3 linked regions of the Daphnia pulex genome follow. The protein of the gene in region 3 binds, or shares a complex with, the protein of the main gene of each other region. Links are inferred from orthologs where the notes say so. Each region holds a gene or a part of one and is shown on either strand. Other genes may lie near its edges. The genes, in order: protein FAM91A1-like, syntaxin-16-like and TBC1 domain family member 23-like.

Evidence for each region.
Region 1: the proteins of TBC1 domain family member 23-like (region 3) and protein FAM91A1-like are in contact, whole or in part, in a crystal structure (PDB 8JJ9), measured with the Homo sapiens proteins. The link is inferred for Daphnia pulex from reciprocal best matches to the Homo sapiens genes TBC1D23 and FAM91A1. Residues at the interface, in NP_001186127.1 of Homo sapiens: Arg533, His534, Val535, Ser536, Ser537, Asp539, Val541, Gly542, Lys543, Pro544, Tyr545, Arg546, Val548, Pro550, Val551, Phe552; in NP_659400.3 of Homo sapiens: Arg49, Glu60, Arg61, Tyr64, Asp84, Ile85, Lys88, Gly89, Leu90, Arg91, Ile92, Thr93, Phe95, Ser96, Ile159, Pro161, Tyr176, Ile177, Thr178, Glu179, Asp181, Ile182, Lys190, Asp194, Ile197, Asp198, Tyr216, Asn217, Lys218, Gly219.
Region 2: the proteins of TBC1 domain family member 23-like (region 3) and syntaxin-16-like are in contact, whole or in part, in a crystal structure (PDB 8QQF), measured with the Homo sapiens proteins. The link is inferred for Daphnia pulex from reciprocal best matches to the Homo sapiens genes TBC1D23 and STX16. Residues at the interface, in NP_001186127.1 of Homo sapiens: Leu638, Asn639, Ser640, Val641, Val642, Lys643, Ile644, Thr645, Ser646, Lys647, Lys648, Ser661, Ser662, Ala663, Ile666, Thr683, Lys687, Ile690, Met691; in NP_001001433.1 of Homo sapiens: Asp209, Asp210, Asn211, Thr212, Leu213, Tyr214, His215, Arg216, Phe218, Thr219, Glu220.

Annotation. Positions count from the first base shown.
Region 1 is NC_060026.1:7,150,725-7,161,503, forward strand, and holds protein FAM91A1-like, read left to right. Parts: upstream 1-4,675; 5' UTR 4,676-4,944; coding exon 4,945-5,016; intron 5,017-5,078; coding exon 5,079-5,163; intron 5,164-5,219; coding exon 5,220-5,429; intron 5,430-5,513; coding exon 5,514-5,661; intron 5,662-5,736; coding exon 5,737-5,773; intron 5,774-5,835; coding exon 5,836-5,936; intron 5,937-6,018; coding exon 6,019-6,178; intron 6,179-6,241; coding exon 6,242-6,497; intron 6,498-6,644; coding exon 6,645-6,769; intron 6,770-6,833; coding exon 6,834-7,374; intron 7,375-7,441; coding exon 7,442-7,789; intron 7,790-7,852; coding exon 7,853-8,247; 3' UTR 8,248-8,523; downstream 8,524-10,779. Other genes in the region: glutaminase liver isoform, mitochondrial-like, read right to left, coding at 9,256-9,415, 9,493-9,788, 9,868-9,999, 10,073-10,117, 10,185-10,316, 10,385-10,543. UniProt on the Homo sapiens protein: As component of the WDR11 complex acts together with TBC1D23 to facilitate the golgin-mediated capture of vesicles generated using AP-1.
Region 2 is NC_060020.1:4,601,016-4,611,307, forward strand, and holds syntaxin-16-like, read left to right. Parts: upstream 1-4,420; 5' UTR 4,421-4,671; coding exon 4,672-4,752; intron 4,753-4,810; coding exon 4,811-5,059; intron 5,060-5,122; coding exon 5,123-5,291; intron 5,292-5,568; coding exon 5,569-5,795; intron 5,796-5,878; coding exon 5,879-6,088; 3' UTR 6,089-6,166; downstream 6,167-10,292. Other genes in the region: oxidative stress-induced growth inhibitor 1-like, read right to left, coding at 6,808-7,281, 7,345-7,635, 7,761-8,099, 8,564-8,734, 8,816-8,979, 9,060-9,186. UniProt on the Homo sapiens protein: SNARE involved in vesicular transport from the late endosomes to the trans-Golgi network.
Region 3 is NC_060019.1:10,735,362-10,746,222, forward strand, and holds TBC1 domain family member 23-like, read left to right. Parts: upstream 1-4,252; 5' UTR 4,253-4,392; coding exon 4,393-4,454; intron 4,455-4,522; coding exon 4,523-4,948; intron 4,949-5,016; coding exon 5,017-5,140; intron 5,141-5,209; coding exon 5,210-5,334; intron 5,335-5,396; coding exon 5,397-5,544; intron 5,545-5,618; coding exon 5,619-5,864; intron 5,865-5,947; coding exon 5,948-6,497; intron 6,498-6,557; coding exon 6,558-6,650; intron 6,651-6,710; coding exon 6,711-6,858; intron 6,859-6,919; coding exon 6,920-7,114; intron 7,115-7,176; coding exon 7,177-7,264; 3' UTR 7,265-7,769; downstream 7,770-10,861. Other genes in the region: serine/threonine-protein phosphatase 2A 56 kDa regulatory subunit gamma isoform-like, read left to right, coding at 71-257, 321-520, 578-711, 783-852, 927-1,057, 1,128-1,401, 1,464-1,711, 1,781-2,120 and 1 more; uncharacterized protein LOC124191175, read right to left, coding at 8,573-9,045, 9,110-9,344, 9,417-9,554, 9,624-9,919, 9,977-10,178, 10,247-10,401, 10,473-10,800. UniProt on the Homo sapiens protein: Putative Rab GTPase-activating protein which plays a role in vesicular trafficking. Involved in endosome-to-Golgi trafficking.

The sequences.
Region 1 (10,779 bases), on a different chromosome or scaffold from region 3:
ATGACTTTAATGTTATATAATACGAGTGTATTATGAGGAAGCTTTGTTACTTTTGCCACGCAGCGTATAGAATATAGAATATCGAAATTTCTCAACACATACACATGTTATGTAAACATTCACTGAAGCGTGGATGCTGCCCGTCTATTGTATAAAATGTTTATGGTTCTGAACGATCATCGACAGGTGCGTTGGGTTTGACGACTAATGCGTTTTTCATCTCACCCAAAACATGTTACTTTTAACCAAGAACAAAACTGAAAACTCTTTTTCGCGAAAAATCCTCACGACCTATAAAAAAAAAAGGAATCAAAAACCTTAATTCTAATTTTATATTGAGTAATTTATAATTTTTTTTTTCTAATACGAAGCTTCTCTTATTGGGTTGCAGACAAGAGAATATTAGCAGATATTAGTCTGTGTAAGAAAAACAAATTTACATAGAATTCCCCTCTTTTTCGCTTCTTCTGGATAGTGTCATCTCTGGATCCCAGACGGCGTTGTAAATTCACTTTCAAAAGCAGCACTAGATAGAGCTTTTTGACAATTGTAGTCGTCTGCTTTTCGTGGTTTGTCATTCATCCACATGTCTTTTTCTTCTTCGTGTTTTCAGTAAAATTACTTGAAGTAAAAGTTATTACAGATTTTTAAAGTATTTTCAAGTGAAAAAGGAAGGAAGAATGGAGGACCATGTTGATGAAGACAAGAAAAAGGCTCACCGGGAACGCCGTGCTGGTAAACTATTTTGCAGCACACAGTATTTGAAGACTATAGCATTTAACGATGGTTGAAAAATTATTAGGGCGCAAAGCGGACAAGAAAAATTCAAGGATCCACACATCCAAGAAATGGATGAGAAAAGCTTTTGCTATCCAGTCATTAGCCAAGGCTCGGAAACATTTTCACAGGTAAATCGGTTTGGTTCAGCCCAGATCAATCGAATCTTGCATGAAATGTCTTTCATAGCTGACAAAAATTTATTTCCCACGTTGGTTAGCAATTTCTTATTCTTTTCTTTTTTTTTCAGAGCACGTAAATGAAAAAAGCATCATATTCCATTAGTAGACAGGACTCCATTAGAACCCCCACCGATCATGGTAGCCATTGTTGGCCCACCCAAAGTTGGAAAAACCACTCTACTCCAAGCTCTAATAAAAAACTTTACACGACAGAATATCACATCCATACAGGGGCCCGTAAATGCGTTATCCGTTAATTTTTTACAATATTGAATCTAAAACTTATTATTTTTCTTGAAAAATCTAGGTAAAAAACGAAGGGTGACTTTTATGGAATGCAATAACGACATCAACTCAATGATAGACATCGCGAAAGTGGCTGACCTTGTTCTGCTTTTGACTGATGCTTCGTTTGGCTTTGAAATGGAAATTTTTGAATTTCTTAACATCTGTCAGGTAAGATTTACTGAAGCATACTCCTTGTGTTCAAAATTTATGATCTCGAACGATTACCAGGTGCATGGATTCCCCCGAGTAATGGGCGTTCTGACTCATCTGGACATGTTCAAGAATAACAAACAACTGAAAAAAACTAAAAAAGTTTTGAAGCACAGATTTTGAACAGAAGTTTACCAGTGAGCGAAATTGTTTTGCCTTTCTGGTCAACTCCACGGAACCTACCCTACAAACGAGATCAAGAACCTCGGCCGCTTTATCTCGGTCATGAAATTCCTACCTCTGTTGTGGAGATCGACTCATCCTTACGTCTTGGTGGACCGATTGGAAGACATGACACCTCCCAGTCGATTACACGAGAATCCCAAATGCAATCGGGACATCTGCCTTTACGGTTTCGTGCGTGGTGTCCACTTGAGAAATCACTGCCCCATCCACATCCCAGGCTGTGGTGATTTCCGCCTTAAAGATGTTTCTTTTCTTCCCGATCCTTGCCCTTTACCGGATAAATTGAAAAAACGTTCGCTGGTCGAAAAGGAGAAGCTGATCTATGCCCCCATGTCTGGGGTGGGCGGTATCATCTACGACAAGGATTCCATCTACATTGAGCTTGACGGCAGTCACTCGCACTCCAAACAGGATGGCCCTACAAATCCTAAATCAGAGATGATCTCGTCGCTGATGAAGTTGCAAAGGACGCTGGATGTACAGATGTCTGAATCAAAAGTAGAAGGACCTACTCTGACTCGGGCGGAAATTTTGGCTGCCCGATTTTGGCTGCCCGATTCACATTAAGAAACCCGTTCGGCTGCCCAGCTGACACCAAGGCCGTCATTGAATGCTCGTCTGACTCGGACTGTTCCGGCCGGGCCAAGTGCTGCTCCAACGGATGCAGTTCCACCTGCACCTCCCCCGAAGGTCCGTTTAATTGGAAATTATTTAAAGTTAATCGAATTAAATTTAATCCAATTAAATGGAATTTTTTTTAAATTAACGAAACAGAAAACAGTTCCGGCCCGTTGATGATGTCCATCTCTCTGCCCGTCTGCACCCTGAAGGGCGACTATGCCCGGGAGCAGAGCCAGGGCGAGTTCAGCTGGTGCGTGGACACGACCGGCCAGCCCATCGACGACTCCTTCACCCGCGGATCGGTCCGCTGCTCGCCCAACGGGACCGTCCTGGAGCAACGGACCCTGGGTCCCATCTGCCCCGACCCGAGCGTCCAGCCAACCGCCTACCGGGACGAGTGCCTCCACGTCCGCTGCCCGTTCATCCCGGACGCCATCTGCGTGGCCGATCCTTGCGACGACTGCAAGGTGGCCTTCATCGACGAACAGGGCCAGCGGCTTGAGTGCACCGATCGCTGCAGCTAGCCGGCCGAGACGGGCCACTGTTGGGCCCTTTTCCCCCGCTACTGTTACAACGTTTCTTCCCGATCCTGGGAGGAATTCATTTCCGGCGGATGCGAAGGCAACGAAAATAATTTCGAATCCGTCCAGGAGTGCAGCCAACACTGCGAGAAACCAGGTAGAAAATTCAATTGACTTTAATTCATTTGACTTTATTCATTTAACTTAATTCACAAATTTTTTTGTTTCATTAAAAATTTTTGTTTTATTATTTTTAATAGTGAACGTGTGTGAATTGCCCAAGGAGCCGGGCATGTGCCGGGCGAATTTCCCTCGCTGGGCTTACAATCCGTAGACTCAGCTGTGCGAGAAATTCTCGTTCGGCGGATGCGGAGGCAGCGCCAACAACTTTCAAAGTTACCAGCAGTGCGCCAGCCGCTGCCCGGACTTGGTCCTCTGCCCGCAGCAGTCGCCGATGCAGGGCGAGATCAAGTCGTGTAGCCGTAACGAGGCCTGCGCCGGACAGACGTGCGCCAACCACCCGGAAGCTGCTTGTTCCGTCGATCCTGCACCTGTCAGGCCGTCTTTGTCGGCGCAGACGGACAGGCCGTCAAGTGCCTGGGTCAAGTCGAGCCGGCCGTCCTCCAAGCCGAGCCCCGCCACGCCTTCCACGACGTCCAGCCGGAAGTCAAAGAGTCGACGACAACAACAACCACGACAACAACTACCACCACCAGCCCAACAACCACCACAACAACAACGACGAAAGCCCCAACAACAACGTTGGGTTAATGTTGATTAACGCTTTATAATCATCCATTGGCGAGAAATGAATTTTCAATTTGATTAATAAAACCTTGTCACATTTCTCCGGCATTTCTTATTTCACACCTGCGTTAGCGAAGCATTTTCTAGATGAGGTAGTTTATATTATTACAATCCCTTCGATTCGAAATGTAGTCGTTCAATTATAACTTGAACCTTTAGCGTGAGATCATGCCTGTTGATAAGATCCAAAATTTGGACGACGCGCTCTCCAACTGCGCTCTCTAATTGGTTGTTGCTGCACGAGTGAATCCTCCATGGGCGTTGTCCATGCGCGTGTCGTAGACGATTTTCAGGAGATTAGGAAAGTCCAAATTTCGGAAAATGGCAATGCAATTTGGATTCACATCTTTTCCAAATTCCAGCAGAAACCGAATGATGCCTAGAAAACAACCCAAAAGCCCAGTACGGTGGATCTACAACCCAATCAAAAAATGTAGGACAATGGGAAAAATCCCGCCCCGGACGATTCAAAAAATACCCCCCCCGCACCATCATCAGTGGCCCAGTAAAGACTGAAGAAGAACTCGTCGTCATTTCCAGTCCCATTGAGGAAAAATCTCTCCCTGGCAACAGACTTTTACTCACCAATATCCAAGGTGGCGATTATGGGCGGATTGTTGGTAGCGGGGGATCAAACATCTATCGCATTGAAACAGAATACGAAATCGTCGTGAGTACAAGAGGATAAACGAAATCAAAGTTTGAAGGACTTGTTCGATTTGTGCTCCCGCGACATTCCGCAGAATAGTGAACAATACCTAAATACAGCTATTGCCCTTTTGAGTATGTATTTTCACTGATAGGTGGCGCTAGTAGACACCGAATTCACATACTTGAGACTTCAAATTTCAGCGATAGACTTCTACTTTAGCCGTTTAGCGTTCAACATTGAAAATTTTATTTTTAAATTTAAGACTTAAACACATTAAAAGTTAATAGAAAGATAAGAGAATTGAATGTAATTAAGCATTTACTTTAATATTTAAATAAGTATTTTTTAAAATTTAAGCTTCCAATTTTAAGGAAACAGATTGTCCCCACGGCATGCCATAATATAGGGACGCCCTAATTTACATCTAAATGTGTTTTGTTTTCTTTATTATTGCAACAGATAAATGAGGAATTGAAAAAAGGTAGTTAAATGACCTATTTCGATTTTCGATAAAAGACGTAGGCCTACGGTTCTTTAGTTACTAAATACTAATCGCCACCGCTAGTTGCAAATTCGGTTCGATTGGAAAAAATAGTCTGCTAGATATTTCTTGTGTTTAACATTCATTCCTTCCTCTTCAACAATTTCTGTGGTTTCGCATTAAACTTTTAAGTTACTGAGGTGTTTTCTAATCAATGCCATGAATCAGGAAGTAGAATCTCACATTCAAAAGAATTGTCCCTGGACAAAGCTTCCTCAAAATGTGAAACAAGTAAGAATATATGAAACAATATGAGACAGTGTTTTGACAGGTAGTGACATGTTTTGTCTCAGTTATTAGGTGGATCATATAAAGAGTATGATAAATGTGTGGTTGCACATAGCATTAAAAATCAGCTTCGTTATAAAGGCAACTTAGGTAACATAATTGTATTATTTTATTAAATACTAATCTTAATGAGAATCATTTTCCAGTGCGCCATGTAAGAAAGGATGAAGAGAGATATTATGAGGAACTGCTTGAATACAGTAGGGTGCATCTTGTTTTGTACCCATACCATTTATCTGATGTTATGGTAAGAGGGCTGAGAGTCACTCCATTTCAGTACTATGTTTCTATGGTTGAAGCTATTATGTTACAAGAAAGAAGCTATGATGCACTTCCAAATTTTACAGCAGCAGACTGTAAGTAAAGAAAACATAAAACATTTCAAATGTATCCAATATACTCATATGATTCAATATACTTTTTATGTCATTTATTGATAGGTCTAAGGCTTCTTGGAATAGGAAGAAACCAATATATTGATTTGATGAACCAGAGTCGTTCTGGGAGGAAGTTATTCAGAAAAAGGAATGCCAGAGAATTTCTCCCAACAAAACCTGTACAAAAAATGGTGATAGAGCCTTGGTGGTTGTAAGTTTTTTTGTTTTCTAGGTTAATTTGTTAATTTGATTCCTGTTTTAACATTGTTTATTTTTAATTGTGTAGGGTTCACACAGGTTCCATAACTGAGGATGATATAAAGGTCTAAACTTTTCTTGTAGTTTGACAATGAAACACTTTATAGATTTTAAAATGTGTTCGCAGATTGCAACTGAAGGCGACAAGTGCTTAATAGATTGTATAATTGACAATGGTCCACGCAAAGCAGGAACTTTGAATTACAATGATTTGCACAACCTTTATGGGTAATTCTTATTTATTGCAACATAATTGGGCAAGCTCTTATGATGTTTAATGTTCATGAGTAAAAATTTATTAATTATTTAGCAAGGGTTTGGTGTACCTTGAAGTGCCTATTGATGCCAGTGATCATATTTCAGTCCCACCACTGGAGGGTTTTGTTATGAATCGTGTACTTGGGGACTATTTTGAAACTTTGCTGTATAAAATATTTGTCTCCGTGGATGAAAAGACGAGTGTTGGAGAGGTACTGTATCTTTGTTCTAAAGAATAATTTATTTTTCCTATTTATTAAGACAAACGGTTTTAGTTGGCCAATGTCCTACAAATTGGCGTAGATCAAGTGAAAAATGCCGTTTCACTTTACTGCCGCTTGGGATTTGCTCGTAAGAAAAATGCTGAATTGGAACCCGGTACACTTCATCCATCATGGAAAAATGTTCTTAACACATCTCCCAACCGGACATCATCTGTTAGTTCAGTACAATCTGATGAAGATCCTCTCTTGGCCGAGCTCGCTGCCGCTTTAGCTGAACTCGGCACACCTTTACCGGTGGAGAAGGAAGGTAACAATTTCTTCTTTTTATTTTATTTATGTTTTTTATTCGTATTTATTAATAATAATAAATATTATTTTTTATTATATTTTATTATATTTTATTATATTTTATTATATTTTATTATATTTTATTATTTTTATCATTTTTATTTAGTCCATCGTCCCGTTGGCCCAGCTGCGGATGAGATAGACAAAGAGCTAGGTGCAGAACAGAAAAGAATCGCTTTTTTGTTTGACTCAACACTGACAGCATTTCTGATGATGGGAAACTTATCTCCGGTACAGCCTACAACTCGTATACTTTAGATGGTTAAATGGCATCACAACTTTTTTTGTTTGACAGGGTCTTAAAAGTCATGCTGTCACCATGTTTGAAGTCGGCAAGCTGTCCGATGAATCCCTAGACAGTTTATTGATAGAACTTGATCGAATCTGTACTGACGACAGTGAAGGAGAAGCTCAGCGGTACTTTGAGCACGCGTTAACCCTGCGCTCGACCGTCCAGTTTTTGAGGAAGGCCCGTCCGGTTTTGGAGAATGATACAAGCAGTGGGACTAGTACTTGGAGCGGGGGCCTGGATCTCATTCGTGTTGAAAGCTTACAATCACTTGACGCCGAGATCTATAGCCGATTGATGCACAAGAACTATCATCTTCTGGTTGCAATGGCTCCTCTAAGCCTTGAAGTTCGTTCTGGCTCTGTTGACGGCCTCCCGCCATTTTGGGGTCCACCTTCTCCCGAATTCACATCGCCTTGGTTTAAACTCTTTTTGTATCAACTAACTCAACAAGGACCGCCGACTTTGTTACTAGCCAAAGGCACACGTCTTCGTCGTTTGCCGAACGTTTTTCATCGATTTGATCGAATACTTTTAACTCCATGGGGTAATTTTTAAACTTTATCAACAGAGAATAAGTCGCTTTCCTAACCACAAATTATTGGATCATACAGGCCACGATTCTGGACTGGTTCCAGCTTCAAATGCTTTAGTGGTATTAAACGAAGCGCTGACCCATTCGGCTCTCATGATACAAGGTTATGGTGCTCAACGTCAACAGGAAAAATTGCACATACCGTTCCCTTTTTTAAACCAAACGGAAGGGAAATCTACACAAGAGGATGTTTGGATGAGTCACCCTACTGTTAAACGGGTTCGCCAAGAGTTGAATTTGCAGAATAGTTGTGGTTTTATAACCATGATCAATCTTGGGTTGGATAAACCATCCGATATCACCGATGTATCCGACCACAGAAGCAGGAGTTCAACGTTTTCGTCCTCACCCATTAATGGCATTAAAGGTATACAAATTAATCATTCACAAATCTTTTTTCTCTGTCGATAAACAAGCTTCGTATCTCCAGATTCTTCGTGCGCTGAAATATTGCGCGAGGAGTTGGACAGTATGGTGGACGAAGTTAGTGAACCGTTGAATCTTCGTGCCAAAGTCCATTTGGAAAAATGGAACGAAGCTGACTGGACCATTTTGAATGTTGATTTTGGCATTCCATTATTCGATTCGCAATTAAATAGTGAGGTTTGTGATCGAATTACCAGCCAAAAATTGTGGCAACGAGAAACTCTAGACTCTCTTATGAAAGTGCAAAAAGCCCTGTCCGAAAGTTTAATGGAGTTCATTCGGCACAACGTAGACATTTCGGTCGAAGGGAAACTAGTAGCGTCGGATATCGTTTTACCCACAAAAAACCTCTTCTTCCATGATGGCAAATTAAATTCATGGGAAGGGAATATCAACTGATAACTGTATTCTTAAAAAAAATGTTATTGTTGTTAACTGAAACAAAACATAACCAACTTATATAATGTGATCCACACATTCCCTGCATATGCAAAACTTATTAAGTGTAATTGCCTTGAGGCTCTGGTGTCAATTTATGGTTATCTTACAGTCTTATTAAATATTACATTACAGAAGATTTTTTTTCGTTAGCCCCAATTGAAACCGTCATTGTGAATCACGAGTCAAGAGATCTTTAGAAATTGTTCGTCAAAATAAACGGTTATTTCATGCTAATTAATTTCTACTAATTGTAATTTTTTTACCAGTGTAGTTGAAAATTGACTTATCGCTATGTGATTGCTCACACTAAAGATTGTGCAAATAATTATTTCACCAATCATCCTTCTGCCCAGTCAAGAAATATACAATGAAGTATTTCGTACATTTACCGCACTCAGTTTACTTTTATTCTCTTTAAACTACAGTTGACCATTGGTGCCATCGATTTTAACAAGTGCTCCTGCTAAAACAAGGTCGAAGGGAAAAACAGAAACAGCAAATAGCTAAACAAACAACGGTGATTTAGTGAACAGATATTGCCAACCTACCATTCAAAGTATTGAAGCAGAGCGGATTGACATCTTCGACGGAAGAGTTCACACTATTCGTCAATACTTGTCCCATTTCACAAACACACAGGTGTGATTATTAACAATAATAAAAATGGAATTAAAAATTCATACTGAAACACAGTCATGGAGTTGATTCGCCGTTTAAATCCAAGTACTTGGGTGATTTCGGGTCAATAGCTATACGACAGAGGCTACTACAGAACACAATGATGTACGAGATAACATAACAACTGATTGAGAACTGGAAGAAGAAAAATTATGCTTAAAGAAGCACACACAATTCTACATTCCAATTACTTTTTTTTTTATTAAGGATAGCGGTAGTTTCTTTGTTCAGATTATCTGAACTCGAAAACCTTTCCATGATAAAGAGCACTCATACCTAAGGGAATCCTTAAAAAATTGAACCTATGCTTCCTTGATCCTTGCTTTTAGCTTTAGTATCTTCTACTGGTTCCTCGGCGACTGGTTTCTTATCGATGTAAGATTGAATCAATTCAGCCACCGCAGTGTGATTGAAACGTACTGCTTCATCTTTCGGCGTTTGTCCCCATCTGAAATAGCAGATTTGATTTGATTTTTTTATTTCTTCTGCCGCTTTTACTAAATTAAAATTTAATATCCAAAGTACCTGTCGGCCGGACTGGGAGGCACTGCGCAGTATTTCAAAAGGAAATCTACGCAATCCAAGTGTCCTTCTGCGGCAGCTAAATGCAAAGCTGTACGATTGTCGTAGTCGGTTTGCGTCATATCGACACCGGAGAGTTTATAGCGCCTCATAGCCGTAACGTCGCCAGCTGCTGCTGAAAATAACAAGCTAACGATATTGAGACCTTTAGTCTCATATTTGTGTCGGCGAGGATCTTGCTTGTTCACTGCATGTTTCAAGTTGTCGTAGCGATGGAAATTGAACATGCTGACCAATTCCTAATTAATTGAGAAAAAGCTGCTGTTAGTATCCACAAGTAATTTTGTTTTTTCAATGAGTTTTATTAAAGAAACTTACTTTACAAAATTCTATGCCTCTAACTGAATTTCCAGACTGATCCAATGGAGGTGACCAGAGAGCAATGCCCAGCACGTTTGGAATCACAACCAGGAGCCCACCACATACCCCAGATTTAGCAGGAAGGCCAACCTTGCAAAAATATTAGGATCAAGTATACTCTCTAAATAATAAAATTAATATTTAAATTATTTATTTGACTTACGGTGAATGCAAATTGCCCAGAGTAGTCGTACATTCCACAAGAGTGCTTTAATTAAAAGACAGCAAATTTTATTATTTCAAATCATAACACAAACAATTGATAAAATAATTACCATAAGGGATAAGACGTCTCGAACCGAGTCTGGTTTCAAAACTTGATCTCCCGTAGTAGGACAGATACCTCCATTAGCCAATGTGGCTGCAATTACGGACATGCTTTCGCAATCCACCTCCATGGAACAACACTATGGAAAACAAAAAATTTCAATTAAAATTTTGTAAAATTGAAATGGTCTAAAAAAAGAAAGCGGACCTGGAAATAAAAATCAAGACATTCGCGGAGATTGATTTTCTCTGGGAAACATTTATTTTCGCGCATGTAGAAGGCCAACGCGTAGTTGCGGTCTGCGTTTTCCCGTTCTGATAGGAAAACGGCGTTGTTAAATCCAACGAACTCCCCGCCAGACATCCGCTGTGAAAGAAAATAATACCAAATTGATTCGATTACATTCAGGAAATGATAATTTTCAGTCTTTCTAACGTATATGGTAACAATATACGAAGCCTGATGCGTAGTTAGAAGCATGCTGTTAGTTCATAGGAGCGTCGCCATACATCTATATAGAAGCCACCTAAGCCAACCCTTAATAAGCCTCCTCATTTGAAAAAAATTAAGAAGTTATACGTGTAGGGAGAAAACACAATTCT
Region 2 (10,292 bases), on a different chromosome or scaffold from region 3:
GAAACGTTTGATTTGACAGTGATGTCCGGTTGTCCGCTCTAGCTCGTTGACAACTTGACAGTTGACACTCAATTGAAAAAACTAACAAAAAAAGACAAATAAATTTAATACTCACGTTATATTCTCCCCTTCAAATTTATTTCACGTCTTCACCAAAAAGCCACCACCTCAGCATCACACATCACAACAGAAGAAATCCCCAAGGTATAATGCTTCTACAATGAGGAGTGATTCTAAATGTTTCTACATCTGTAGTGATTCCAGATTGTTGACAAAATATCTTGTTCTGCTACCTTTACGGATTACCTTTTAAACTTTTAACTGCATTCCTGTCATTCTGCACTTTGCCTTACTTGTGATAAATCTTTCTTTTTCTCTGCAGGTTCCGGTGGCCATTGATGTTCAGGCTGTGAATTGAGATGCTGCCTAATGAAGAGATGGTGAAAGGCTGAAAGGTTTGCTTGAAGCTGTTGCAGTGTTGCTGCTGTCCTTGGTCTCACAATTCAATGTGTTCTTCGATTTGTCTGTTGTGTCAAATCTATTCCAAATTCCCCTCCAAATTTATATCTTGTCTTCACCAAAAAGCAACCACCTTTTAGTATCACAAATTCACAACAGACAAAATTTCCAAGTTATAATATGCTTCTACAATGAACAGTTCTTCTACATGCTTCTACATCTATTAGTGATTCCAGATTGTTGACGAAATATTGTAAACTGCTTCCTTTTTACTTATAACCATTTTAACATTTAACTTCATTCCTATCATTCTGTACTTTGCCTTACTTGTGATAAATCTCTCTTTTTCTCGTCTGCAGGTTCCGATGGACATTGATGTTCAGGCTGTTAATGGAGATGCTGCCTAATGAGGAGATGGTGAGAGGTGTGCTTTATAAAGCTGTTGCTACTGTATGGTATTGTGGTTTCATGTGTAAGTTCACTTTTCATGTCACTGAATTTCTTTCGTTGCAGTCTACATATGTATTTTAAGTATTGATCTGGGCTTATGTGTAACTGATGTTGGACTCCTTTTCTGAGGCCCCGTAAAATCGCTCTCGTAATAACCGTTCCTCAACTTTTCGCTCTTTTTCCTGTTTGAGCGTGTGTAAGTTTGATTAAACATTATTAATATTAACAAACAACAACAACAAATTAACATTGAGGTTGAATTATTCATAAACTAAATTAGTAAATTTGAATTAAAAATAATTTTATAATAAATTATAAAATATATATAATATTGTGATGATAAATATTGGAAGTTTTGTATGTTGCTTATGGGGCTCTTCGGGATCTGTTTTATTTAGCCGATTTATCTGGCAACGCAGCATGGCGCCAGTCTTTTTTGAGGGAAGAACGGGGAGAAGAGGGAGAATGGGACGAGTGGGAGGGAGGAGGGCGTACGAAAAAAAAGGGGACCCACGTTTCCTCTTCTCCCCCATTCGTCCCATTCTCCCTCTTCTCCCCGTTCTTCCCTCAAAAAAGACTGGCGCCATGCTGCGTTGCCAGATAAATCGGCTAAATAAAACAGATCCCGAAGAGCCCCTATTATTACAGTAATAAGCCATATAGATATTAAGAATCAGGTTTTGAAGGACAACATAGTTTGTAGAAATGGAAAAGAAGTATGTAACTATTGTTCAGGGAGCAATTAATTTTAGGACAATACTTGTTGAATTGTAAAAATAGAATTTTGAAACGAATGTTAATTAAGCAAGTAAAGTGTTCATAAAAAAGTTTCCCTCATAATTTTCCAAATTTTCCACATATCATGGAGCTTATCGCATTATGACCGGGGGGTGATGGTCAGCTAGGGGTGTTGGTTGGTTACTGTTTACTTAATAACACGGGGAAGGAAGGAGCACAGCTATACTATTGTGATCATCTACATAATTTATCAGTCTTAAATTTCAGCAGTCTCTTCAGTTTCAGCTATGGAACGGCGACTCACTTAAACGAAAACGGAGATTTCATTAAAAGTAAATAAAACTGAGACTGTACAAGAAGCATTACCTCAACGCACAGGTAGCAAAAGAAGGAATCGACAAAATGCAGTCGATTAAATATGCCCGACAACCATCAGGCAACATGGACTATTTTCAGCAACTTTTCAACACCGCATGAACACAACAAGCATAGAAAAATAAGAAAGAGGTATGAATGGTATGATGTTGAACTGCAAGTCTGCACAAACTCCATTCAAGTCCATCTGTCAACTGGAAAATGACCATGAAATCCTACAACGCAAAACAACATTAGTAAATCAGTAACATTTTGAAATACGAAAAATATACCAATTAAAAGTTTCACAAAGCAAAACAGAAAAATGGAAGTGATATTTAACTTTAGCTTAAATAAATTAAATTTTTCTACCACTCATAAGTTACAGAAATGATTTATTTAAAATTTAGAATAAACTAAACCCTAATCAAGAAGAAAGTCAACAATCACATCAAGTTATTAACAATGACGGCAATTTCTGCTTTTTCCTCAGAAAATTTACAACTCATTAAAAGAACTTTCCACAAAACTGTCTGATTAAGCACAAAATATCGAGGCCACTTGTCAAAGATAAAGAACACAATGCTAACCCACTTGATTTATCTTACAAGTATCACAATATTGTCTTACAATAGTGTAGAGACCCTCTCAAAGACGTATCTTCATGACATGGCAGCGACCACTTGGAGAAAGGCATGATCTTCGATAAACGTTTACCAAATAAATTCAAGCAGATTAAAAAATTGACTAAAAGAAAAGAAAAAACTTCATGATTCACTTACTTGCTTTAGAGTTGTTCACTTTCGATTCAGCTTGGTCGAATGGCGTCAGAATACCTCAATCATTCTTAAATGTAAAAGCGAAAAAACAACGTTAGCAACACATTCCAGTCCACTGTCTTAAAAGCAAATTTCGTCACTCACTCACGGACACTTCGCCACCGGTAAACATAATTTTACACACCTAGTGAAAAGCAACAGCATTAACGAACGACTGAATGGTCCATTATTAAATGTACGAACAATATCAACACCCGAATCTGCATGAACAACTCAACCCACCGTTCACCAGCTAGATGCACCCAAGTCTTTCTGCACATTGGACTGCCATCAAGAGGCTCAGAGCCTCAGAAGAGGTTGTAAACTTGTAATCCTACTTGGAGAAAAAAAGTCCTTATCAGAAAATACGTCATTTGTATGCTTTACATTTGTGACATCAACAAAATGACAGCAGCTTGGTTCAACTAGGCACTTTTTTGGAATTACTTTTAAGTTGCAAAGGAATCTACAATTAGCATCCTTAGAACAGTTTTAACTGAGAAGTCAACAGATACAAAGCAAAAAAACTATATAGCCTTACCGTAGAAAAGCTGATCAACTTGATTAATTTTATTTGCTCTGAAGTATTTTTGCATGTGAAGAGAGCTGCAAACTGTACAGGTATCAATCAAGCCAGCAAGAAGAACACCTTTCGCCAGCTGGCTGCAACAAACCCATGAGCACATTGGGCTGAGAGGCTCAGACCTGAAGAGGCTGTATTCCTATTAGGAGAAAAATCAATTGCTATCAGAAAATAAAGTCATGTGTGACATGAACAAAATGACAGAAGCATGGTTTAGCTAAGTAATCTCTAGGAATTACTGTTACATTACACAGGAATCAACAATTGGCATACTTTTAAAATGTTTTTAACCTTTAAGTCAACAGATTTCAAGCAAAAAAACTACATGTTAACTAGTAAATGAGTATCCTTACCGTAAAAAGCAGATCAACTTTATTATTTTAAACTCTTCTGAAGTGTTGCTGCATGTGACGAAAGCTACAAGCTGTACAGGTAGCAAACAAACCTGCAAGTAAAGAAAACCACCTGCCAGCTGTCTGCAACAGCAACAACTTCGTGTGCATGTGGGACTGAGAGGCTCAGACCTTAAAAGGCTGTATTCCTACTTGGAGAAAAAATCCCTAAACACACTGAAATATTTAGCCACCTGGTGACAGCCCTAAGCATCCACGGACGACGGGAGTCAATACATGCTCACTGTAGCCTACACCTGCGTCTGCGTTATAATTACGGATTGCACTAACACTAAGTCTATAATGATTAAACATTTAAACCCTACATCGTAATCTACTGTATGCAAAAATAGTGATGCCGTATTGGTATAATAAACTTTGTAATGTTCACTTTACTATAAGCAATGGCATACCATAGCAATTACTTTAACCATTACATAGCTGTCTGGCATTTGCGTTAGCATTACTACTTCTTTACTCTCACATAAAAAATTTTCATGAAATGTGCTAGGAATGGCTTAATAGTTAATACTATGGTGAATATTAATGAATTGTTTGAAACTAAAAAAAAAAAAAAAAAAACACGCGCTCTTTTACTTCCATCTAGTGGCTGCTGATGACACCAAAACTTTTCTTCATACTAAATGTGCCACGAAATGTCAAAATCAGCTGTACAAGGATCGAGTCCATCGATTTAAAATTGTCAAAATCAAAATCTGGCATTTAAAAAATAAAGTTTCAGTGCAATATCTATTATCCAAATCAATGTTTTCAATTGTGATGTGTACGATTTAGATTTTTCTTGTGAAAATTTAGATCACGTACATCTTAATATCGATGATTCAACCCCAATATCGACTGAAAGTTCACATAGAAAATGGCAACACGAAGTATCACTGAAATTTTCATTCTGATGCGTAACAATGCTATTCAAAGTCGCAATTTTTACTCTGAACAAGTGAGTGACTCATTTTGACTTTTGAAATTACTGGTAATTGGTAATGGTTTGCTTTTAGAGCATATCAGACACGGATTCCTTGGTCCGTCATGAAATAGATGTTCACGGCAAGAGTCATGCCACTCATGTAAGGATTCCTCCAGAATGGACAGACAGCTTAGAAGAGGCTCAGTACACCTTGACAAAAATTCAAACTCGACTAAAAGAGTTGAGCTCTCTTCAAAACAAACATCTTCTTAAGCCCACATTTGATGACTCGATGAATGAAGAGCAGCAGATTGATGCCTTTACTCAAGACATAACCAAAGTATTACAGATTAGAATTAATTAAATTGTTTAAAACTTCAATCCTTCTTTGTTTATTCTGAAGATGTTTACCACCTGCCACAATTGCATAAAAAGGATTCAGTACAATAGTACTAGTCCTAGTCTGGGGCAGGCAGAAGCAAATCTTGCCAAAAATGTGGTCACATCTTTGGTAACAACATTACAAAATCTATCAAACACCTTCAGGAGTGACCAGAATGCATATCTGAACAGTTCAGTTCTTATTCATTTATTTCTTTTACAAAGTATAGCACATTCCAGTCACAGTCAAAGCCAGTCACAGCACTTTTATCATGTCAATATTACTTATTCTAAGTGATAAGTAATCATTACTCATCAGTCATCTTCATTTCTTTATCACACAAGAATGTAGTTTCAAATCTCTGATTTGTATTTTGTTGCACCTAGATAATAGTTTAAAAATCAATTAACCAATTCGTAACAAAAATGTAAATTCATGTATATACTTATTTGCCCACTGCCCAACAGAAATTAAATCACGCGAGGAACGTTCTCAACAATTTTTTGGTGGAACTTCCTCCAAGGATTGGAATTATGATGACTGGACCAATACTAGCAGCCAAACCGAAACTCCGCGAGTGATGAGCCAGCAGCAATTGATGTTGCAGGAAGAAAATTCGTCTTTCGTTGAACAGCGCGAGAAGGAAATTCAAAATGTGGTCCGTTCGATATACGAACTGAATTCGATATTTAAAGTAATTTCTTTGACACTTTGAAGCATTGCAACATTATTTCATTATGGTGTAACTTATTTTTGTTCATTTTCTTAAATCTGCAGGAAATCTCTCACATGGTCGCGGATCAAGGTACCGTTTTGGATAGAATAGACTACAATATTGAGCATACACAAGCTAAAGTTCACGACGGTTTGGTTCATCTGCAAAAAGCTGATAATTATCAAAAGAAAAATCGGAAGATGGTATGCATTGTCGGTTTGGTTTCCACCATCATCCTTCTAATCATTATTTTAATTGCTGTTAAATCTTGAGTAAATAGAAAATCTAATTTCTGTTCAAGTTTTCCATGTGTGTATTGAACTGCTGGAAATGTACGTGTTTAAATGCTGCATAGTATATGTTTTACAAGTTCAAAACACTTGAATTTTCTAAGGTGTTGTAACTTTAATATGAAGTGTACATTTTCAATTACAGTCGCAATATTAGCTACCCCTCTCGTCACCAACTAGGGCCAAAAACACATTGGTCGTCCTTAGTATTGACATGCAAAAACAAATTACAGAACGTTAAAACCGCTCTTGTTTCGCACCCCTAAAGCTATAGTCCTGGAAACAATCAAATTCCTTTTGGAAATGTTTTCAGTAAGGACACGCGTAACGTATAGCACCGTAACGATGCCATTTAAGACATAAGCTCTACTTATCAGCAGTAAATTCATAAAGAAAATCAACAATAGATATTCAAATTTCTCAACGAAAGCTTCTTAAAAAATGAGAGTAGTAGAAAACGAAGTTTAGAGAGAGGAGAAGGCACAACGAAGACTAGCAGAGCACTCGTTGAAGTGGAGGTGTAATAGGGTGGTGATTCGGACTTATTTCTCAAAGATGAAAACCGTGTTTCGTGATATTTACAATAGATTGTATCAATAACCGCTGATACAAATGAGGGGACTAAAAGCGCCTTTGATTCGCAAAAGTTCAATATTAGGAACGCTTTTAATACCCCCGGTAAAACTAAATGGCGATCAACGTCACGCCGGGCAATCAAGGTAGTTGACGGATTCTTGAGGGACATGAAGGATGGGCGGATTTGACACTTCTTCTTTCCTCTCCAATGGACAGGATTTCAAATGAATATCTCTCGTGATAGCTAAGGCGCCTCCTTGGGCGAAACGGACAAAATTATCTGAGACCAAGGGCCCCATAGCGTACAACCCAGGTTGCTTGGTGGATTCGAGCGTGAATAGATCGACATCAAGCGGGTTATTACGACATGAGATAGGTTTGGTCACGTCGACCGTTAAATCACGTCCTTTATTTTCAAGGAAACTTAAACTAGGTCGAGAGCCTATTAATACCACGACGTAAGAAACTTTGATTCGAGTGGAGCACTCTGGTCCTTGCAGACAGACTTTTCCATCATTTTGAATACGCACCACTTGGCTCTGCTCCATCGGAGTGTATCCTGAGTAAGTCATTCCGTTGTCTTTCATCATCTGATAGACCTGATAATTAAACAAATCAAAAATGAAATGATGTCAACTCAATCAGAAATTGAGAAAAATTACCTTGTGGTACTCAGGGTACATGTTGGAAGGAAGCTGGCCAAAGATAAGGCTAGGATCGGTAGCCTTGCGTCGAAACGCGTGAATGATGGGAATTCCATGAAAGTGTGCGGCAATTATAGCATCCGCTGCAGACAAGCCAGCCCCAACAATGAGAACCGGTTCACTCCGACTGTTCAATTGCTGACTGGAAATAAGTTGTTCCATCGCTTGTAAGGATTTGACGACAAAGGGCAGATTTTCACCGGCCACGTTCATACGATTAGGGCGATCAGAACCACCAATGGCTAAGACCTATTATTTCAAATAGAAAATCATTATCAACATTCCTAAAACTAATAGTGAAATTGGCTAATTCAATAGCCAGATATTTTCACTCTCGTACTTATAATTATAAAGTAGATTATAACAGAACATACCACGTTTGGAGTCAAATATTGAAAATCTTCCAGTCCTTCAGCTGTCCGGATGTGACCCGTCACTTGCCAAAGTCCACGATCATTGTTCTCGTTTGAGCCATTTTTTAATTGATCTACACGACGAACCGAAGTGACTTCCGCTGAGTCGCGGAAGTAGGGGCGCAATCCTTTGATATCAACGTAATCGTGATAATATCGAGCCACGTTCTTAACCGAGGCTCGTTTCTGACGACTCCCAAGTTGCCGATCGCAAACACTTTCTTCCCATTCTCGAAAGCTCAAGTTAGCCAGTTCCATCCACGTTCCTCTGCTGATAGTCAAAACGTCTCCCTCCATTGCCTATACAAAAAAATAGGGGAAAAATACAATGAAAAAACGGCCATACACGTTTTTTTAAAAAAAGATCGGCCTTGATGCAATAATGCCTGTGGCAATACCATAGTTTCTCTTTTCTAGAGTCGAGAGGAAATCGAGAGAAATGAGTTTCTACAGTAATTATAGGGTTTGTCCTTGTACCAGAATCAAGGCTAAGGTCGAAACAGTATTGCATTTCCTCCAACGCTCATATGTGTTTCCATGTAAACAATTTTTTAAGTGTAAACAACAAACAAGGCCCATTACATAATAATAATTTTGATTATTGTCGTATCGGCGTACGGTAACTACGCACCATTAAAGTCCAAGATGGATGAAATATTTTTCAGATTGAGAAAAAAATTGAAGGTTCAAATCTAAACGTACGTGTTGCTAAGCTATTTTACAATCTAAGAAAGGGAAGGAGTGAGATAAATTGATAAACGCACCTGCCACGATCCCCCCGGGGGACCTCTGCCAAGAACCACGTGATCGAGAGCATGCTCGGGATGGTTCTTCCATGCAAGAAGTGATGGTAGATCTTGACCTGTGTCTGCATCTGGGTGATTCAGAATGTCGTATAAAAGAGCAACCGGATTGCTCGACCGCCCTTCCAGTCCCTAGCGTTCCAAATAGAAATGTTACCAGAGAACTACATAACCAAAAACAAAATAATAATAATAATAATCTTCATCTCTTACTTCTGATAATTCTTTCAGATCTTGAAGAACCAACGGGCAGTTGGGTTTCGATTCCAATCTGTAGTGAAGAAAGTCTGGTGGATGCCCCATCTCGTCCATGCCCTTATAATAGGGCCAATGGCCGGACAAGAGATAAGACAGAGTAATAGCTGAAGGTCCGTTACCTAGAAAAGGGTTATCTCAGCTTTTATTCAACGAATTCACATTGTGCTAGAACATCAGTAAACGTTTGGAAATAAATTACCGACGACGACAACGTCTTTGGTTATGGTCTTGACTGACGTTTCGATATCGACAGATCGAGTATCCGCAACTGCTTGGCGCGATCGTCTTGAACCCGTTAATGGGCAGCGAATGGATTTGGTGCGCATGGTCCTGTTGCTAGGTGAACAAATCGTTAGAATGCATTGTGTTTTCTAATAAACCATCGATAGCAATTATGGGAGGATAAGAATTAGCGTCATTAGTCGAGCAAAGCGAAGGCTTAATTCGCACCGCAACTGTGCAGAAAATATGATGGTCATCACTTTGATTAACACAAGACCTTCAAGTGAAGCTTTCGCTCGAGGGAGGGAATTACCCGCAGATACCTCTCGGTAAAAGGGCGGTTGCAATCAGGAAAAGGTTTTTAGACACAATGTCACATATGGATAGAATTAAGGGAATGTTGAAATAAAAGTTTTGAATTTTCTCCTTGAAATGCATGGAAATCGAAGACTAACTGATTGAAATTCAACTCAGATATTTGCCCAATTAATTAAAAGAGGTTTTCCCTTAGGATCAAATGAAAATACAATAATAACTGGAAACTTAAAAAATAAATTAGAAAAACTAAAAACATGGCATTGCAATATTTGCTTAAAGAACAATTTTCGGAAGCTGATTCGAAAATGAACCCATTCAACCATGTACAAATAATTGCCCGTGTGAAATGAATATTCTAGAAATAAGAGAAGGTTGAAAGAGTAACCTGCAGAGTAACCTGCCGACTCCTATTTAAGTAAACGTGACTGCATTTAATTTCAAATAAGTTTTCCCGCAAAACGGGGCAGATCGAATCAACATCAGTCGTCGAGCAAAATCGATACATTTCATTGCATAAGTCTTCCACAGACATAATGCTATCGCAAATGCACATCTTAGAAGAAAGGAAATGGAAGGGTAAACCAAAGTCTTATCTTACCTTTGTTTTCGAGGTTTATCCACGAGTATTTTGATTGTGATGTATTGCTTTCACGAGTAGAGAAGGATCACTGGTTGAAACTTTCGAATGTCTTTACAGTTTTAAAGTGGAAACAGTGCAACAGCAACACACCAAAAACCGGGCAAGTGTGTCTGTGTTAGAAGCCGGTGGAGACTCGTACGAGAGGGGAGAACATGTGGAGACAGGGGGATCGTGAAGGCGGGACCGTCAGGCTCCTCCCTTAACGAGATAAGTCTTTCTTTTCAAAAAAGAAAAAAAGAGTATGAAGTGTAT
Region 3 (10,861 bases):
TGCCCTTTGAAATATCACTTTATCAATTTGCATACATTAATATTAATCACCGGTTAATTATGCTGTTTAGAGCGGGAGAACTAGCCCCGGAAGTTCGCCCTCTTCTGGACCCAAATTGGCGACTGGACCACCACCGCCAGCACAAATCAATAAAATAAAGTTCACGGGTACAACTGTGGTAAAAAACCGACGGCAGAGCTCTTCGCGCTTCAACATTACCAAAAATCGCGAAATACAAAAATTGCCATTGCTCAAAGGTATTTTAATTTAATTAAAATTTACAAGAAGGATTTTTACATAGTTATTTTCGTATACTTCAGATGCGGCGCCAGCAGAAAGAGAGGAATTATTTGTGCAGAAGATTCAGCAGTGCTGTGTTCTGTTTGACTTTGTAGCCGATCCACTTAGCGACCTCAAATGGAAGGAGGTCAAACGTGGGGCTTTATTAGAGATGGTTGAATACGTCACTTCACAGAGGGGTGTTATTACTGAAGCAATCTACCCTGAAGCTGTGAATATGGTACTTTATGGTTATACATTACTTTTGGAAACACATTATTAAATGTTCTGTTCTCAGTTTGCCACCAATCTCTTTCGTGCCCTGCCGCCTTCGAGCAATCCCAACGGAGCCGAGTTCGACCCAGAGGAGGATGAACCGACCCTGGAAGCTGCATGGCCTCACCTCCAACTTGTCTACGAGTTTTTCCTGAGGTAACGTTCACCACCTGCACTGAAGTTTGATAGATGTCGTAAAGTTTATTTTTTTGGTTTGGTGAAAAAAGGTTTTTGGAATCTCCCGACTTTCAGCCGAATATAGCCAAGAGATGCATTGACCAGAAGTTTGTACTTCAGGTGACACATTTAGACAAAAGACTTGATGGTTTTTATCACGAAATTAACAAAATTACAAATTTATATAAATTCAGTTATTGGATCTATTTGATTCCGAAGATCCCCGTGAACGGGACTTTCTTAAAACTACATTGCATCGGATATACGGCAAATTTCTCGGTCTCCGAGCCTACATTCGAAAACAAATTAACAACATATTCTATAAGTAACTCACAATTTGTTTTGCGATATTTGCGTTGCCTTTTCACAACCTTTTATCCTGTTTCTTTGCTCAGATTCATTTATGAAACGGAGCATCACAATGGGGTGGCAGAGCTGTTGGAAATCCTAGGTAGCATTATTAATGGCTTCGCGCTTCCTTTAAAGGAGGAGCACAAGGTCTTCCTTCTTAAAGTGCTTATGCCGCTGCACAAGGTCAAGTCGCTGTCCGTTTATCACCCACAACTGGCGTATTGTGTCGTCCAGTTTTTGGAAAAAGATCCATCACTGACGGAACCGGTTGTCCTCAGTCTTTTGAAGTTTTGGCCTAAAGTTCATTCTCCCAAAGAGGTAAGATCCGTTTCTGCAAGTGTCTTTTGTTGTCTTTGAGCTTACTTACGTGTAATCACCAGGTGATGTTCTTAAATGAACTGGAAGAAATTCTTGATGTTATGGAGCCAGCTGAGTTTTCGAAGGTCATGGTACAACTCTTTAGGCAGCTGTCACGTTGCGTTTCCAGCCCGCATTTCCAAGTGGCTGAGCGTGCTCTATATTATTGGAACAATGAGTACATTATGAGCTTGATCAGTGACAACGCTTCAGTTATCTTGCCCATCATGTTCCCGGCTCTTTATAAAAATTCAAAGTCGCACTGGAACAAGTGAGTAGAATTCATTTTTGCCTTGTCTGTGGAAATTTAAGTTCATGTTCTCCTACGTATTTCTTTCAGAACAATTCATGGACTGATCTACAACGCCCTGAAGCTCTTTATGGAGATGAACCAAAAACTGTTTGACGATTGTACGCAACAATACAGATCTGAGCGGTTGAAAGAGAAGGAAAAATTCAAAGAACGGGAGGAGTTTTGGAGCCAAATAGAAGCTGAGGCTATTAAAAATCCTAAGCACCACTTAGTGGCTAATCTCATGCCCAAAACCATTTCTGGTGGAGCTTTGGCACAGTCTGTGAGCGCCGCGCTGTCGGCTGCAGGACAAGCAGCTTCAGGAGAGGACCAGGATGAAGACACAAACAACGTCTCTTATGAAAAGATCGAAGCCGAAGCTCGTGAGGTACTGTAGTGACAGTAATATGTTGTATTGTGTAAATGTAATGGTGTTGAACGGCAGTGAATTAAAACATGTTTTTAATGTAACTTAAATGCTCAATGGAACTTGTTTTAAATGCAGGCTAAACGAGTGAAGAATCGCGAGAAACCGTTACTTCGACGTAAATCGGAACTACCCCACGACACTTATACGATCAAAGCGTTGACAGATCATAAGAGAGCTGATGAATTCCTCCCGACGCCTCCCGACGTCAACACCAGTTGAACAAGGTGATGTGTACTTGGCGTGCAACATTTTTCAGGATGAGGAGAAGAAGATCGCGAAGAATTTTCATTCAAACTGTAGAGGCAGCATCAACCATTTAAAACATACATAAAAGTAGAGGAACATTTTTTTTTAGAGAAACCTGCCAAGATATCCCCATTTCCCAACTCTAGATCTAGAAGATCACTATCCCCTTTACCACTTGCGCCTAACTACGCTGTCTATTGTCAAACGCTAACCCCTTCAACCTTGATTAGATGTTTTAGTGTCGATTGCCTAACACACACTCCAGAAAAACCCAAATCGGATTGTGGCCATCCCCGTGAGATGTCGAATTCTGTTGCACACACGGCACAGAGAGCCAGTGGGAAGGAGAGATAGCAACAAAAACAAAAAAAAAACTAAAAAAATCAAACAAACAAACAAACAAACAAAAAAAATATTGAATCTGTGTAAATGTCCCAAGTAGATTGTAGTGGTTCATGTACCTTAGGTCCCCTCCTGCGAAACAGCAACAAAAACACAAAAATAATAGCTTCTATCATCCCTGCTACGCCTTCCCTCCTCACTATGGTTTCAAATCTTTGATTGGCATTCACGGTTATCCACTGTACACGTAGCCGCTTTTCCAACATTCCATTTCAATTCCAACATAACGGCCGAGCTTTATTATTATTGTTTTGTTTGTTTTTTCTTTCTACTCCTGTCACTCGGAAAGGGCCTGTTGTACCTTCTTTTTCTTTATTTTTTATTTTTTTTTTGTAATCCCGAAAGTTTCCTTTATTAATGTTTTCCCCTCCAGTTAAGACTGGCATAACCTTCATGGGAACTTTAGTTATTGGATTGGTTGTCCCTATAAGCTGTATAAGTGTTTGCGCGTGTTGTAGCAAGAAACGTTCACATCGCCCGTGAAGGCCGTTGATATATACAGCGGGTATAGGGATTTAAAGTGAAAAACAGTAAAGGCTTAACAGATAGCGGACGTAATCCAGCAGCTGGTTGACCAAAACACAGCAACAACAACAACAACAACAATTACATACAATGCCTGGTGCTCAGTGCTTCATAAGCAACTTATTTCCCTTTCCCCAAATTATTTGTTTGTATGTTGATGCAATCTTATTTAGCCAGGCTTCAATCTGTTAGTGCACATTGTCGAAATCTCGCTGAAATATTTTCGAGAGTGCAGTTTTTTTTTCCTTTTTCCAAATTCTATTCAACATTGTTTTTTGTTTTTTTCCGATTCTCATACAGCGCCACTGGCGATTAATCCCGGAAGATCTTGAACGAAACTTGTGAGACAGATTTGGAAGGTTGGCTGTAAACGGTTTTTGCTTCACATTTCTCCCTATTCCCTTCGTTGAAGAAGTAAAAGGGGAAAAAAATGCAATGTCAGGAGTCAGGACACTTTTAGTGTAGACCGTGTGGTGGTGTTCTGCCCTTGTGTTACGTGTCATCCTCTTATACAATATACCCTGGCTATCTATTACAGCTCTGCGTAGTGTTCAATGCAAAATTTACGAGATGTGGTTTTCATCTGCGACAAATGAGATGTAGAAATTGACTTAAAAAGTTCTTTGACTAGGAAGACTACAGCACTTTTCCACATTTGTTGATTTGAAATTATGTTGGTCCAGAAGGAAACGACACATTTTCTTTTACAGGAATTAAATGAAAGCATTCTACTGAGCAAACCTATATATTGGTGTGTGTTGTCTATTCAGTTTATTATCACAACTCAAGAAATAAAAACAAAATGTTCAGATTAATCAGCTTATTTCCATTTCATCCCAAGTCCTAATAACTGGGACAGGAAGTGTATAACAGATAACGAGGAAGGGAGGGGAGGGTAGATATGGGTTAGTAGATGCGATAACGATTTTTGAACCAAACGGCAACTTGCTTGGTTGGTTACTACTACCAGCTACTACGGGCAAAGGACCGTAGGAGGCGGAGCTTGCCAGCTTGGTCATTGAAAATAGTCTGCTGACGAAACACAACATCTGAGAATATGACAGGTGCAAATGTACATTGTGCAATGGCTGACGACCTAGACACAGACGATGGCTCTTGGTAATAATTATTCTTTTGCAGCGTTATTAATTCAATTAATAAAATAACTCTACCTGTGTATTATAAAGGATCTTGGCTCTTGAAGGAGCATTACAAGAGCAGTGCAGTCTACACGATTTGCGTCTGATTTGTCGTAGCAAAAGCATCCCCGATTCCATGCGTGGACAAGTTTGGTATCGGTTGTTGGGGTCTTCCACCGGCTCTCCTGCTGATGGACTTGAACGATTCAACGAAATATTTGACCTAGCTAATCAATCTAAACTAAGAGAAGACTGTAAAATCTTTGTGGAGAAGTTGGACAACGAAGAAGAAGACAAAGTTTCCATCCTTTCTGATCTCGAGTCTCTTGTTACTCATTATTGCAAGACTCGTCACATCAATTACGACCCAAACAATGGCTGGATGCACATTCTCACACCTTTAGTCTCTTTAAAACTACCCAAAAATGAACTCTACAGCTATTTTAATGCAATCTTGGATTCATATATTCCTAGGTAAACATTTAAATATATAGCATTATTAATGTTTTCAAATTAGGAACAGAATCCTTTTTTTATTACAGGCAGTGCCATTTTAATGGAGTAGCTATGCATCTGTTTCGATTACTTTTGCTGTATCACGAACCAGAACTATGTTCTTTCCTTGATTCACATAAAATTGCACCAAATTTGTATACACAGAAATGGGTAATTAATCCACTATTGTTTATTTATAATTGCATTGACTAATGATTGGCAACTTGTTTAACTTTCTAGTTTCTATCCTTATTTGCAGCTTCAAGTAACCTTCAAGCTGTTCTCGCTCTGTGGGACTACTACTTTATCCGTGGCGATCCATTTTTAATATTTTTTCTTTCGTTGGTTCTCGTCATCAATGCCAAGTAGGCCTAATTATCCTTTTTCAAATTTTTAAAATGAAGATCTTCATGAAATGATCAAACAGGGATGAAATAATGGCTCACAAAGGTGAGAAGGAAAAAATATTGGAAACTATAGCCGAACTCCCGCAACAGATGGAAGCTGGTGATATTCACGACTTTTGCTCACTAGCTGTTTTGTATTCTGCACAGACTCCTTTTTCGTACAAGAGGGTAAGATTAAATTTTTTTGATGTTAAAATACGATAATAAATTTTATTCAAAATTCATATTCACTTGAAACGTAGGACTACCATCAAGCTCTTTTTGGCGAAGATGCGTCAGATGAAAGAATGGATCTTTTGGTCTTGTCCCAAGCGCTTTGCCTGCCGGTATCTGTGCAAGAGTTGCTAGTCAGTTGTCATTTATTGAATCCTCCTACAAAATCTGATGCCGAAAGCAGAGCATTACGTTTCTTCCTTGTCGATTGTCGGCCTGCAGAGCAATATAACGCTGGCCATCTCCCTACAGCTTTCCACCTCGACTCTAATCTTGTAAGATTCTAAATCAGACAGAATTTAGAATTGAGAATAGAATTTTAGCATTTATTTTCATTCACATGTATCATTTTCAACAGATGCTAACTGAACCTCAAGCATTTAGCGTGGCTGTCCAAGCGTTACTATCCTCCCAGAAACAGTCCATCGCTGCACAATCGGCTGCAGGGGGAGAGCACTTGGTGTTTTTCGGATCGGGCAGAGAAGCAGAAGACCAATATGTCCACATGGTTGTAGCGTTTTTCCTTCAAAGACACGTTCAGTTTGTTGGCCTAGTCCAAGGCGGCTTTTCTGCTGTTCACCAAGCTCTGGTTGCAGCTCAGATTGAAAATGGGGTTGTCGCCACATCGGTTTCTATTGAACCGGTCGGACTTGTCGATCACAATCCATCACTGTGCCTTGTATGTACTGTCAACAAATCTGAAGAGTCGCCGACAGCTGCTGGCAAAAGCAATGCTCAGGGAACACCTCAGCACGCAACGGGATCTTCCTCTTCTTCATCTAACAAGACCGATTTCTTTGGGCGGATGCGCTCAAAGTCCGCAGTAGTTAAAGACAAACTCCTCGACTACATTGTTAATCCTATTTCAGCTGGAGATAATGAACCGACACCAAAGTCCAAGAGTAAAGGTGCGGAATTTAATTTGTGTGCTTTCAAGTTCACTAGTTTAAGCAATTCTTTCATTTTAGAAAATCCTAGTACCGGAGGAAAAAGCAAAGGAGCCGGCAAGCTCTACCGCAACATAGCGCCTGTATTTTCAATTGACGATGATCAAGATGGAGGTATAGAAACAATGTCAAATAATTATAAAGCGAGTAATTCATGATTGTGTTATTTTATAGATGATCCAACTTTTGAAGGAAGTTCTGAGCGAGAGGCAGACGCACCGAACCAGGAACTGGTAGCCATATCTTCGTGGCTTAAGAGACCAGACGTAATCAACTCATTCCGTTGTCATGAAGTTAAGGAGAGTGGGCATGCATTTCCGAGGTTAGTTCTTTAAAACTGTTTATGCAAATTTGATGTGTAATCCGTTTGTTTTGCTGTAAAGTTATTTGCTGATTACGCCAAGTCACTTGTATGCCCTAAGAGAAATTGAAGATCGTCCAGGTTTCGCGCGCATCAGCGTAAATCGTTCATTATCTTCAATCATGAAAATCACTAGCAAAAAGCGACATCCGGAATTTATCACTTTCAAGTATGGGAACATAAAAGGCGAAGAAACTATTATTGTCGATTTAGACAGGTTGGTAGAGTTTTTTAAAAGATTCAATGCAACAAACATCAAAGTATATTTATGGATTCTAGATTCGTCGTCCCTCAAGCTGGAGATGCTGTCAAGTTGGTCAAGCTGCAACTATTCAACAACAGTTCTGCTGCCAACGCAAATAGCTGATGGAAGCAATGGAATGCTTGTATGAATATCAAGAATCATTTACACAAGACTTTTTTCCTTTAAACAAACTTATGAATTCCAGTTTTTCAATCTGAAAATCTTTTCCAGTCAGTTATAATTAGGTTTGGGTTGAAAGAAAATATTCCATCTCTTATCGTCGTATTGAAGCATATCACTTACCTGATTGCTTGAATCTTACTAAATGCCTCTTCCATCCACAGGTGTAACCAGTAGTAAAAAGTTTAACGATAACCAAACTCATTTAGGTAGCACCGTAAGCCCTATTTTTAATTATTATTTCAAAAATATGTTCTAATAATTTGGTGGTCATCCTAGATAACTTTTTCGTTTCCGTTCTGAATTTGTATCGTTAACTTCTCTATTCAAACTTCTATAAGATTCAACCAGAGGAAATATATTCGTAAGCTAAAAAAAAAAATTGCACCGAAATATATGTACTAGGATGTCTTTTAAACCCGTTGTTATACACGACATTTTGAGCTAACCGGGTGCAGCATATTTAGAAGGAATCACTAGGGTTTTGCCTGACATCTTTCAGCTGTTAAAAGGAGATTTCGTTGTTCATCTAGAAGGAAACCGCTAAAGTGAGTGCACCCTAGATTCCTTCTCTCAGTGCCTAAATGCTTCATCTTTTAATAAACTCCGGCTTTAGTCTTTTTCAGGTTCGAGACGGATTACCATGCAAGAGAAGTGATGCTCAATGCCGTCGTTGTCGCTGGTGCTGGCTGGCCAAAACATCATTCAGAACCAAGGTAACATTTGGCCATCTTTCATGTTCATGAGTGTCGAAAGAGATCCTTAGAAGCTAGGTTTAAATGAAACGTTGGCTTGTGCACTGGACCGACTCTTGTAACTGAAAAAAAAAAAAACATGTTTATGTTATTATTTGATAACAATCTAGGACCTCCGAGTTGTTTTGGGGTGTGATATTTCATCGGCTAGGGCCAGAATCATCCTTGTTGTTTACATTTTGAGAAGGCGATAAGAAGCGCGACATACTTGATCGCAGACAAAATGTAAATCTTAATTGGGGCTCCCCTAAATGGATATTTAAATCGGAAATGAATTCAAATAGATTTTTTTCTAAAAAGGAAAATTGTGTACTAAATGGTCTCAAGGGCGTTATAAGATCAACAAATAACATTTTGATTTTAATTATTGCATCGATAGCGACAAAAGTCTTTTCAAAATAATTAACTCGTGCCACATGTCAGGTTTTAAACAAATTACAGTAGTACAAACAGAAAATACTTAATCTTTGGAAATTAACATTTTAGGATGAGAATTTCAAAACAACTGTTCATCAAGTAGGAAGCCGCTAAAGTGTGTAGTCATGTCAATGTCTTCATAATTTCCTCCTCCCGATGCAGACTGAAGTACTAAATGAATTTTGTCTTTTCTTCTCAGGTTCAAGATTGATTGAAGGGAAAGCGAGAAAAAGCCCTGGTGATCGCTGCCGTAGATGCTGGCCACATCCTCGACGTCATTCAGCACCAAAGTAACCGACACATGCTGGGGCTTTTCACGTTTGATGGCTCCAAAGGAGAACCGGAACACGTACGTTCCGGACTTGGGAACAGTAAAAACACCTTTTTTCGCGTCCATCCCACCTCCTTGATTGGATCGAGTTATCTCAAAAGGTAGGATCGATTGCACATTTCCTCTTCCTTCCAAGTAGAACGGTGATTTCCTTAGGACGTAAAAATAGACCAAAGATGACGCCACGTCCGCCTTTCCTATCCAGGTTTCTCGAGGGGCCCCTTGATTTGAAACATTTCAAAGTTAGTTTTTTTTCCCACCTCTTGTTAGAAATTAGAATTTCACCTGATGTCATGTTGCAGTAGACCATATCGATGTTATCGTCTCCCTTGACGGGGTAAATTCCGCTCAGGGCGTGACCCATAGTCTTCAAATCGTGACAGTTTGCCGGCATCCGCGTCAATGATTTTCCCGCAGGGCGATCTGATCTTCTCCTAAGTTCTGCTATTTCCTCATTTTGTCTTTGATGGCCGTTGAAAAGTTCTCGCAAATCTCTCGCTAGTTTCTCATCTATCGACTCCTTTAGAACAATGTCAATGCATTGGTGAATCACGAAAATAGTATAGGTAAAAGTCTATTGGCGCTTACGTACTAATTTGCGGATTTGCAAGCTGTTTGTCCGGTTCTGTCTACCTAGAAACAAATTCAATCGAACCACGGAGTTCCTTATTCGCATTGCTTGTCTCTGAATTCGCTCGTCCGCTTTATCCAATCGCTCAGTTATTAAATTCTAAAGTGCACGTAATAATCTTGTTACTTTTGCAGTCAAGACTTTTAATGGATTGTTAATTATACTTACAAATTGTTCGGTAGAAACGAATGAGGAAAGAGCCTTTTCCTCACCTGGCACTTGAGTCATGTCGCAAAACACAGTTTCAGATATTTCGGATCGCAGGATCGAATACAAACCGGAAGTTGTGTAGCCAGTTCGCCACACATCTTGGCACGAAGTTGGCAGTCGTTTAACACTTGAGATCATTTGAAGGCCGTGACATTCCAGCCGTCCGAGGATGTACCGGCCGGAAGAGGGTGGAGCCAAAATGCGTCCGAAATTCAGCCGCGTGATGGGAAGAAAGGATTTGTCCATAATTAAACCTAGATTACCTTTCGATTAGGTAATTTCCTTTCGTAAAAAGGTTGTTACCAACTTGCCTGTGTCGGTAGTCTCTATGGGTGAAAGAGCGTTACAGTTGCACTGCAATTTACGATCGAGACAGGAATTATCCAGCGCGCATTGGCATTTCGATTGAGTCGAGTTCCCACCGGTGAAGTCGTTACGTCGGACCCCGTGTCGATCAGTCCACCAACTCTGAGATTCTCCGTTGAATTCCAATGGAGCAATTTTGCAATCGTACTGTTTAAAATCCCGGTAGAAAACTCAGTTACACACGTACCCTGTTGTTCTAAGGCAAATTACGATACCTGGACAGACTGCGTACAATCAGATGATAATTCCAAGAGGGCGATCATTTGTCTCATAGTGGCATTGTATTGGATCGGGCGGCTGTAACATCCTGCATCCCAGCATTGGCCAACATCTGTGGCTTCTTCGCTGTCGTGCGGGATTAAAGTAGATCCTATTTTCCAAGTAAAAAAAAAACAAAATGTAACGATGACAAAAGAACATTGGCAATCCTCTTTTGACAACCTGTCGTCATGTTACATGAGACATAAATGGGTGCATCGCCTGTTCCGTGGCCGTCGGGATCGATCCAGTACATGCCCGATTCGACTGATTCGTTGGAGCGTCTCAGCTCTTCACAGGATCTCGGCGCTACTGCTGTGGAATTGGAAACTTTTGGAGGTTTCATCTGCTCCCTTTTTTCCGCTTGAAGGGCCTCGAGTCTTTCTTCCAATCTGGCAACAATTTTCTTGAGGCCTTGAATTTCCATCTCGTGTTTTCCTATCTCGTCTCGCTGCTGTGTCTGTGCTGCTGCCTCGACGACGACTTGATGATAACTCTCTTTCAAAAGTCTCTGGAAAAGAGCAGACACAAAAGAGAGAAACGATTAGCAGCTACTAGTGGGAATTCGAAAG